Linked DNA regions of Canis lupus familiaris. The protein of the gene in region 1 binds, or shares a complex with, the protein of each later gene. Links are inferred from orthologs where the notes say so. Each region holds a gene or a part of one and is shown on either strand. Other genes may lie near its edges.

The links. The genes of interacting proteins can lie anywhere in the genome.
Region 2: POLR3F (region 1) and POLR3K share a complex: the UniProt entries of both Homo sapiens proteins name them as parts of the RNA polymerase III complex. The link is inferred for Canis lupus familiaris from reciprocal best matches to the Homo sapiens genes POLR3F and POLR3K.

Annotation. Positions count from the first base shown.
Region 1 is NC_049245.1:5,111,771-5,115,331, reverse strand, and holds part of POLR3F (DNA-directed RNA polymerase III subunit RPC6), read left to right. Parts: intron 1-1,016; coding exon 1,017-1,084; intron 1,085-1,458; coding exon 1,459-1,479; intron 1,480-1,607; coding exon 1,608-1,675; intron 1,676-3,017; coding exon 3,018-3,130; intron 3,131-3,561. UniProt on the Homo sapiens protein: DNA-dependent RNA polymerase catalyzes the transcription of DNA into RNA using the four ribonucleoside triphosphates as substrates.
Region 2 is NC_049227.1:40,886,459-40,890,516, reverse strand, and holds the start of POLR3K (DNA-directed RNA polymerase III subunit RPC10), read right to left. Parts: upstream 2,805-4,058; 5' UTR 2,756-2,804; coding exon 2,645-2,755; intron 1,899-2,644; coding exon 1,811-1,898; intron 357-1,810; coding exon 229-356; 3' UTR 1-228. Other genes in the region: SNRNP25 (U11/U12 small nuclear ribonucleoprotein 25 kDa protein), read left to right, coding at 3,121-3,162, 3,835-3,925. UniProt on the Homo sapiens protein: Core component of RNA polymerase III (Pol III) which synthesizes small non-coding RNAs using the four ribonucleoside triphosphates as substrates. Can mediate Pol I proofreading of the nascent RNA transcript.

The sequences.
Region 1 (3,561 bases):
TTTGCAGGCCTTGTGGTTTCTGTTGCAGGTACCCAACTCTGCAGGAAAGTAGCCATGGGCCATACATTAAGAAATGAGCATGGCTGCATTCCAGTAAAACTTTATAAAAACAAGGGCAGCCCGGGTCATATCCATGACCCCCCCCCCGCCCCCCAGTCATATATCACAGTATGGATGTTCGGTAAACGTTCATAGGCTGAATTAAACAACCTACAAATGGAACTTTGTGGTTTGATTTTGCTACTTAGTGGGGTCCAGGGACAATTGCTGTTCATTCATATGTAAACCTGTTTCCAAGTCCTGTGTCAGCCCAGTCTTAACTGATGAGAATGGGGGCTCCTTTAGCCATGAGTTCCCCAAACAGCCAGAAGTCTGGTAGTACAGCCACCTGAGGGCTCCCAAGTTCAGACCCAAGGGATTTCAAAAGCATGTCCGACATGCTTTCTTTACTTTTGCTATATAAAACCAAATCTATTGCATCTTTTATTCATTGCGTGATATTCCTGCCTAATTGTCATGTAATATAATAGAAATAACACAAATCAGTAAATGTTACTATTAACTTGGCAAATTTTACTGTATCATGTTATAAAATATTTATGCATGTTATTCTTCATTTGAAATCTTTATATAAATTATTTTCATTTTTAAGTTTATATTATACATTTGTTGAATTTATTTGAATTCAAATATAGATTTTTATTTATTATTCTAAAGCTGTTCAGAATTCTTTATGCATTGATCATATAACTAAGCTAGGGTATAGCATATAAGAAATTGTTAAGTATTTATATTTTGGAAAATGACAACCTAAGTTTCAAAAATGGTTTCAAAAATATATTACATGTGATATGTAGGTAAAAACTTAAGTCTCGAGTGAGGAACTAACAAATAATTTTGTGGGGTAGGATATTTTGGTTTGTGTAAAATTTTAAAGAATACGTGAACATTTGTGGTTGATTTGAAGTATCTCCAAGATAATTCATTGTTATTTTCTATTAAAAAAAAAACTTTAGGGTCAGTTGGATCTCTTAAGGAGCAATACAGGCCTTCTGTATAGAATAAAGGATTCTCAGAATGCTGGGTAAGCACCTAATTTTTTTATTGTAAGAAACTTTAATTATTACAAATGTAACCTATGTTTTTTTGGGAAAAAGTCAACATAGAATTGCATAATGTAAACCTGTCCTGCATACCATCCCCACCTCTTATCATGAGTTCCATTTCTCAGAGATAACTGCTCTTAATAATTTGGTATATGTCCTTTCTTCTAGGTATATATATAAATATATAGAAATGATTATATATTTATATACTATATATAATCTCTTTTCTTTTTTTTTCTTTTTTTTTCTTTTTTTTTTTTAACAAAAATGGGATCATGCTATCCATACTGTTTTGCAACTTGTTTTTTTCACTTACTATATCTTGGACATCTTTTCATTCTGGTACATACAGCCCTGTCTCATTCTTTTTAAGGTAAGCCCTTCTTTTGGTAAATAAGTCAATGTGATGACCTTGTCTGCTAATTCATTAAAGTAATTATGTAGATTATTAGATTATCCTGTATCTCTTTGTCTTTTTAATTCTACTTTATTCCCCTGCAGTAAAATGAAAGGATCAGATAACCAAGAAAAACTAGTATATCAAATCATAGAGGATGCAGGAAATAAAGGTAAGCAGGTAAAGGAAGAAGCAGAAAAAGTCATCATCTTTAAGACCAGAAATAGGAACTGAGTTCTGGCTTCCCAGGATACAGATCCATATGTAGAGAATGCTTCCATGTATGTTAAAAGAAGGGGAAGTAGAAATATATAATATACATATGCTTGCAGGACACCCAGGTGTGATGCCGTTGCTGTTGCCTCAACGCAGGCAGGGGCTAGATGGCTGGGGGCCAGGATGGAAAGAAACTTCTGAATTCTGAACTGTGGGAATGTACTATCTATTCAAAATAAATCAGCTAAAACTTAAGGGTTTTTTTTTTTTTTTTTTTTCCCAATCCTCACTTTCTTTGACGGCCTTCATTTCTTTAACTTCATCTTATCTGTAACTTGTGGATAATCCATCTCTCTAGTTTTTGCAAAAACCAAAGGGATGTCCAGTGCAGTGTGGCAGTGTCTGACAGAGGTCCCTCAGCAACTGTTCAGTTTTTCTCTATCCCCTTACGGAACTATATCTAAATTGCTGTTAATCCTAGAGTTTAGGATCTGAGTCCAATGATAATTTCAACAATGTATCAACAATGATATAATTTGAAATATCATTCTTGTATTATTAGGTGTTTAATATTTTTAAAATAGACATGACAAAAGCCATTCTCTATTTTTAAAAAATCTATCTTCCTATCACATTATGCCTCTGTGCTGGGAAGAAAATAAGGTAACACATTTTCTTTTTCTTTTATTTTTTAATTTTTTTAATTTTTTTTTTAAGGTAACACATTTTCTATAAAATTCCACATACAACCCTTCTTTGAAATCCTACCTTCTTGTAAAGGGCTTTTAGTGGCTGTGAGAATTGCAGTCTTCCTTTTTTTCATCTCCTAAATATAGTGTATAAATAATGGGTATATATGCACACACATGTTCACATGCAGTTTTTTGCACTCTGTTGGCGGTGATAGCTGACCTTGGCCCAAACTTAAGTTATAATCTAAATACGATCTGAAGTATAAATAATAGGAAACAGAATTTGGGGTATAGGAGGGGGTGGAAGAGACAATAAGTTAATTCAGTAACATTCAAGATTTTTCTCCATTAAAAAGTATCTTTTTCATATGTTTTTAAAAAGGTGCCACACTAGGATTCCAAGAAATTTCTGGTTAGAAGACATAGCGCATAACTTCTTTTATCATTTTGCATACTTTTGTTGTTATCTGAGATTCTTACCTCTAAGTCACTGTTTTTCCTATAACTATGCCCTAGGAATAGTATACATATTTTGCTAGTTTTGGCACGTGGACTACAAACACAAATCCTATGGCGTTGAACTCATTTTACTTTACTTTCTTACAGGAATATGGAGCAGAGATATCCGATACAAAAGTAACTTGCCATTAACAGAAATTAACAAAATTCTAAAGAATTTGGAAAGTAAAAAGCTTATCAAAGCTGTTAAGTCTGTGGCAGTGAGTATTTTTCTCTTTCCTTCCCCCAAGTGTTCACTGTATGTGTATTGCTCCAAGTATGTTTCAAGATCTTCTTGTTCTTTAGGCTATGTCATGATTTAAAACTACTAGTCAAAAAGATTTTTAAAAATTTCGTTTATATTGAATTGGTTTGGAGATGTTACTTACATTTATCACTGCCTGGTTAATTCTTTGTGTCTTACCCCCTTGAAAAGGTAAAACTACTGTATTCTTCAGTAAAGAATTTTTGGAATCATGAACATTTTTCATGGATTTTCAGCGTGTAAGATAGTTTACTTCATTCTAGCAAATTAGATTACTCATTCAACAAATATCTATTGTGTGTTTGCTCTGTGCCAGGCACTGTTTGGGTGTTTGGGATACATTAATGAACAAGTCAGGGAAAGATCTCTGCCCTGATAAAGTGTCTC
Region 2 (4,058 bases), on another chromosome or scaffold:
GAACACACTTACTTATGTATACCCTTCCCTGCACACACAATCCCCCTGGATATAAATGAGCTCATCCGCTGACTGCCAGATGGGCTGGTACCCTGACCAGCTCCCGTGAAAGGGTTAGCTTTTGGCCACATCAGCAGAGACAGTTCAGGACAAACAGTTCACACTCCTGGCTGTGAATCCACCCTAGGGAACAAGGTAGGCAGACAATGACACAGCTGGATCCTGGCCCTAGTCCCTCCAGCGGTGTCCACACTGAGCATTGCAGCACTTGTAGAAGGTGGTCATCGGCTCGTCTGCAGAGCGAGTCTGAAGCTGCATGAAATAGGCACGAGGATGTTCGCATTTAGGACATGACTCTGGCAACGAGAAAAACAAGTGACCCACATTATGCTCATGACCAAACACACCTGCTAGAAGTAGGTAGGTATTAACACACCAAATCCCTCCCCGACCCCAATCATCTGGCATCCCCTGCCTAGGGCACCTTGCGCCATGACTGAAAGGCTGTAATTAGTGGCATCATTCCCACTACACTCTCACACTGAGGGGACTTGTGACCCTGGAAAACACTCCTGCTCCCCTCCCTGAGTCCCATTTTTCTTCTCAAATCTGGTTGAAGACTAGCTGGAAATGTGACATGAAATGTGGCTTATGGCTACCATGTGCATGATGGGGTCCACTCTGGGCAGATTCTTCCAAGTGCATCTCCATCACCTAAGCCCTCTCAACTTCCTGGAGGAGCCCCCAGGGGATGACAAATCCACTTCCCATTAAATTTAGGGATCCATCTCGGCAGCAGTTCCTCAGGCCGTTCTTATGAAGACCTCACCATACAACCCACACCTTTGCCAAATACCTCAAGGCAAAGTGACTTCAGTTCGGGAAACTGACCCTATGCTTGATAATGCCTTCAAACACTCACAAACAGCACTTTGAACATTAGGTACCAAAATCATCTTCTTTTCTTTCCTGGCAAATTCTGCCAATGCTAATTTTACCATATCAGATTTAGATGTTCTTCTATGGGGGAGAAAAGATAATACTAAACAGGAGTTGGGTCTTCCTCCGCTCAACACAGATGTGTTTAGGGCTCTCTTCTTTCCTTCCCTGGTCACATCTACCTCTATCAGACAGGAAACAAGACTTGAAATAAACATGTGAATGCTCTCTGCCATCAGCTTTTAAAAATCTACACCAGGAAGAAAAATAAATAAATAAATAAATAAATAAATAAACAAACAAACAAACGAATGAATGAATAAATTAATTAATTAAAAATAAAAATCTACACCAGGGATCCCTGGGTGGCTCAGTGGTTGAGCATCTGCCTTCTGCTCAGGGTGTGACCCCGGGGGGTCCCAGGATCGAGTCCCACATCGGGCTCCTGTATGGGGCCTGCTTCTCCCTCTGCCTGTGTCTCTGTCTCTGCGTCTCTCATGAATACATAAATAAAATATTTTTTAGAGATAATTAATTTTAAAAAAGATCCACAACTGAACAAATGGACCATATACTCTTCCTTAGGCTCCGACTTTCATTACTGCCATCGGTTGCTCCCCGCACAGCCGCCACTTGAGGACCACGCTAGAGGCCAAGTGCTGCGGGGCTCCCTTCACGCTCTCACAACGGAGGGAGGCCACCAAGGTCATGCGATGTTAAGAGGCTGTGGCTTTGAGACTAACCCACACCTGTACGTCTCTGGGGTTTATGCCAATATTGCCTGTGTAAGAAATAAATCACTAAAGAAGAAAATACACACGCTATTTTTAGGAGCTTCCTTCCTCAAAGGCAGCGCGGCCTCAGCTCTCACCTGCGGTGGAGTCCACGTTCTCCCAGGCCGCCGCGCCGCCGAGCACATCGTCCACTTCTTTCAGCTTCGGGTACTTCCGGTTGGTGACCTGGCGAAAGGCGGCAGGTGTTCAGGCCGCGGGTAGGGGCGCGGTGCTGACCCGGCCGCCGACTGCCCTCCTCCCCGCGGGCTGCACGATCCTGGGCAGCCGCGTCTCTACACCCGCGGCGCAGGGCTCGGCCCGGGTCCAGGGGCTCCAGCGTCGGGCCGGCCCAAGAGGCGGATGCAGCCGGGACCCCCCACCCCACCCCGTCCACGCTCGGCCCGGGCCCTCCGCGCAGGCCCCCGGCTCCGTCCCGGGCGTCGCGGCGGCGGCCCCAACTCCCGCGGGCAGCTCGGGGCGGGCGGTGCGCCGCGGCTCCGTCCAGGGCCCGGGTTGGGGCCGCAGCACCGACCCCAGGCACGCAAGTCCCGTAGAGGCGTGTCCGCAGGTGACCCGAGTCCGCCAGAGCCACGCTGCTCGGCACGACCCAAACACGGCGAGGCTGCGGGCGGGGCGGGGAGGGCAGCGGGAGCACGTGCAAAGGCCCGGCGGCCGTGTCGGTGCGCGGCGCGGGCTGCTCCCCGGGGGCTGGCGGCGTCGGCCCGGACCCGCAGTCAGCCGCGCCAGCGCACAGGGCGGGCCTGATCCGGCCACGGCTCCGACGAGGCCGCCCGGGCCGCCGCCGGGGACGCCGCCACGGGAGCCGGGTGAGGCCAGGCCGCTCCCGATACGGCGGGGGGCGGGGGCGGGGCCGCTGGAGCACCCCGGCGGGGCGGGCGTCGGCTGCTGGGCGGGGGGCGGCGGGTGATCACCTTGCGCGTGATGTTGTGCACGTAGGGGCAGGTGTTGCAGGCGAAGCGGTGGCAGCGCTGTCCCTCCTCCACGATCAGCCCGTTCCCGCAGCCCGGACAGAAGAGCAGCATGGCTGCCCCGCGCGCTCCCGGCAGCCCCTGCGGCCGCGGGGCGCCGGCGTCGGGCCCGTCGCGAGCTCCCATTGGCCCGGGCCGCCGCCGCCCCAATGGCCGGGCCGGGTTGGCGCTCCCAGCAGCCCCTGCGGCAGGCCGCCTCGAGCCTCCCATCGGTCCCCGTGGCAGCCCCGCCCCTCGCGGCCGGAAGCGGCGGCGGCGCGGTCGGAGCGCGGGGCTGGGCGGGCGCCCTGGAGCCGGCGGAGGCCGAGGCCGAGGCGGAGGCGGCGGCGGCGCGGCCCGAGGCGCCCGAGGCCGAGGAGGATGAAGAGGAGGCGCTGCCGCACTCCGAGGCGGTGGACGTGTTCCAGGAGGGGCTCGCCATGGTGGTGCAGGACCCGCTGCTCTGCGACCTCCCGATCCAGGTGCGCGGCGGGACCTCGGTGCCTGACCTCCCCCTGTGGGCGCCAGAGGTGACGATGCGGCGGGCCTCGATTCTCCCGTGTCCTTTAAGGACCTCACTGACCCGAGCACGAGCGGGGGCAGCAGGGGACAGGGACAGGCGGACGGTCGTCCGGTCCCAAGGCGGACCCCGACGGCGCCCCGGGCGCCCCGGGCGCGGCTGCGCTGCAGGTGCAGGTTCTAAGGTCGTTTCCGTAGTTGAGGCTCAAGTGGGGAGAACGGCTCCACCCCGGGACTCCGCATCGAGATTCGCGCCCCGCCCGAGGACGTTCACTCCTGGGTTGGGCGCCCCGGTCACCCTCGCACACCGGCCTCCCCTCCCCCCCCCGCCCGGTGTCGCCCTGGATCCCGGACTGACCGCGCCTCCTCCTTCCCAGCCCCAGAGCCCAGATCTGGCGCTCACCCTCTCCTGTTTCAGCGCTCCTCTTTTCCTGAGCTTTAATGCACTTTGCACATTAAACACTTTTAAAATGTAGGTGCAACCGGGAAACCCTAGCATAGAAGTAAGAAATCTTGTCTCTCGTCTTTCGTAAGATACGGCACTGCTTTTCCGATGCTATCCGCTTGTCTTGTCTTGTGGTTTGGGATAGCAAAGGCAGCCAAGGCTCCCACCTCCACCATTGGTCTTTCTGCAGGTTACTTTGGAAGAAGTCAATTCCCAGATAGCACTAGAATATGGCCAAGCGATGACAGTCCGCGTGTGCAAGATGGATGGAGAGATAATGCGTAAGTGCTCGCCCTCTCCCTGCGGACCCTGCAGTCCAAGCTGTCACGCAGACAAGACGCTGCCATGGCTGCTCAGGGGAAACTCAAGAGCCATGTACGTCGAAGGGCATCGGGGCAACCACAAGCCTACCCC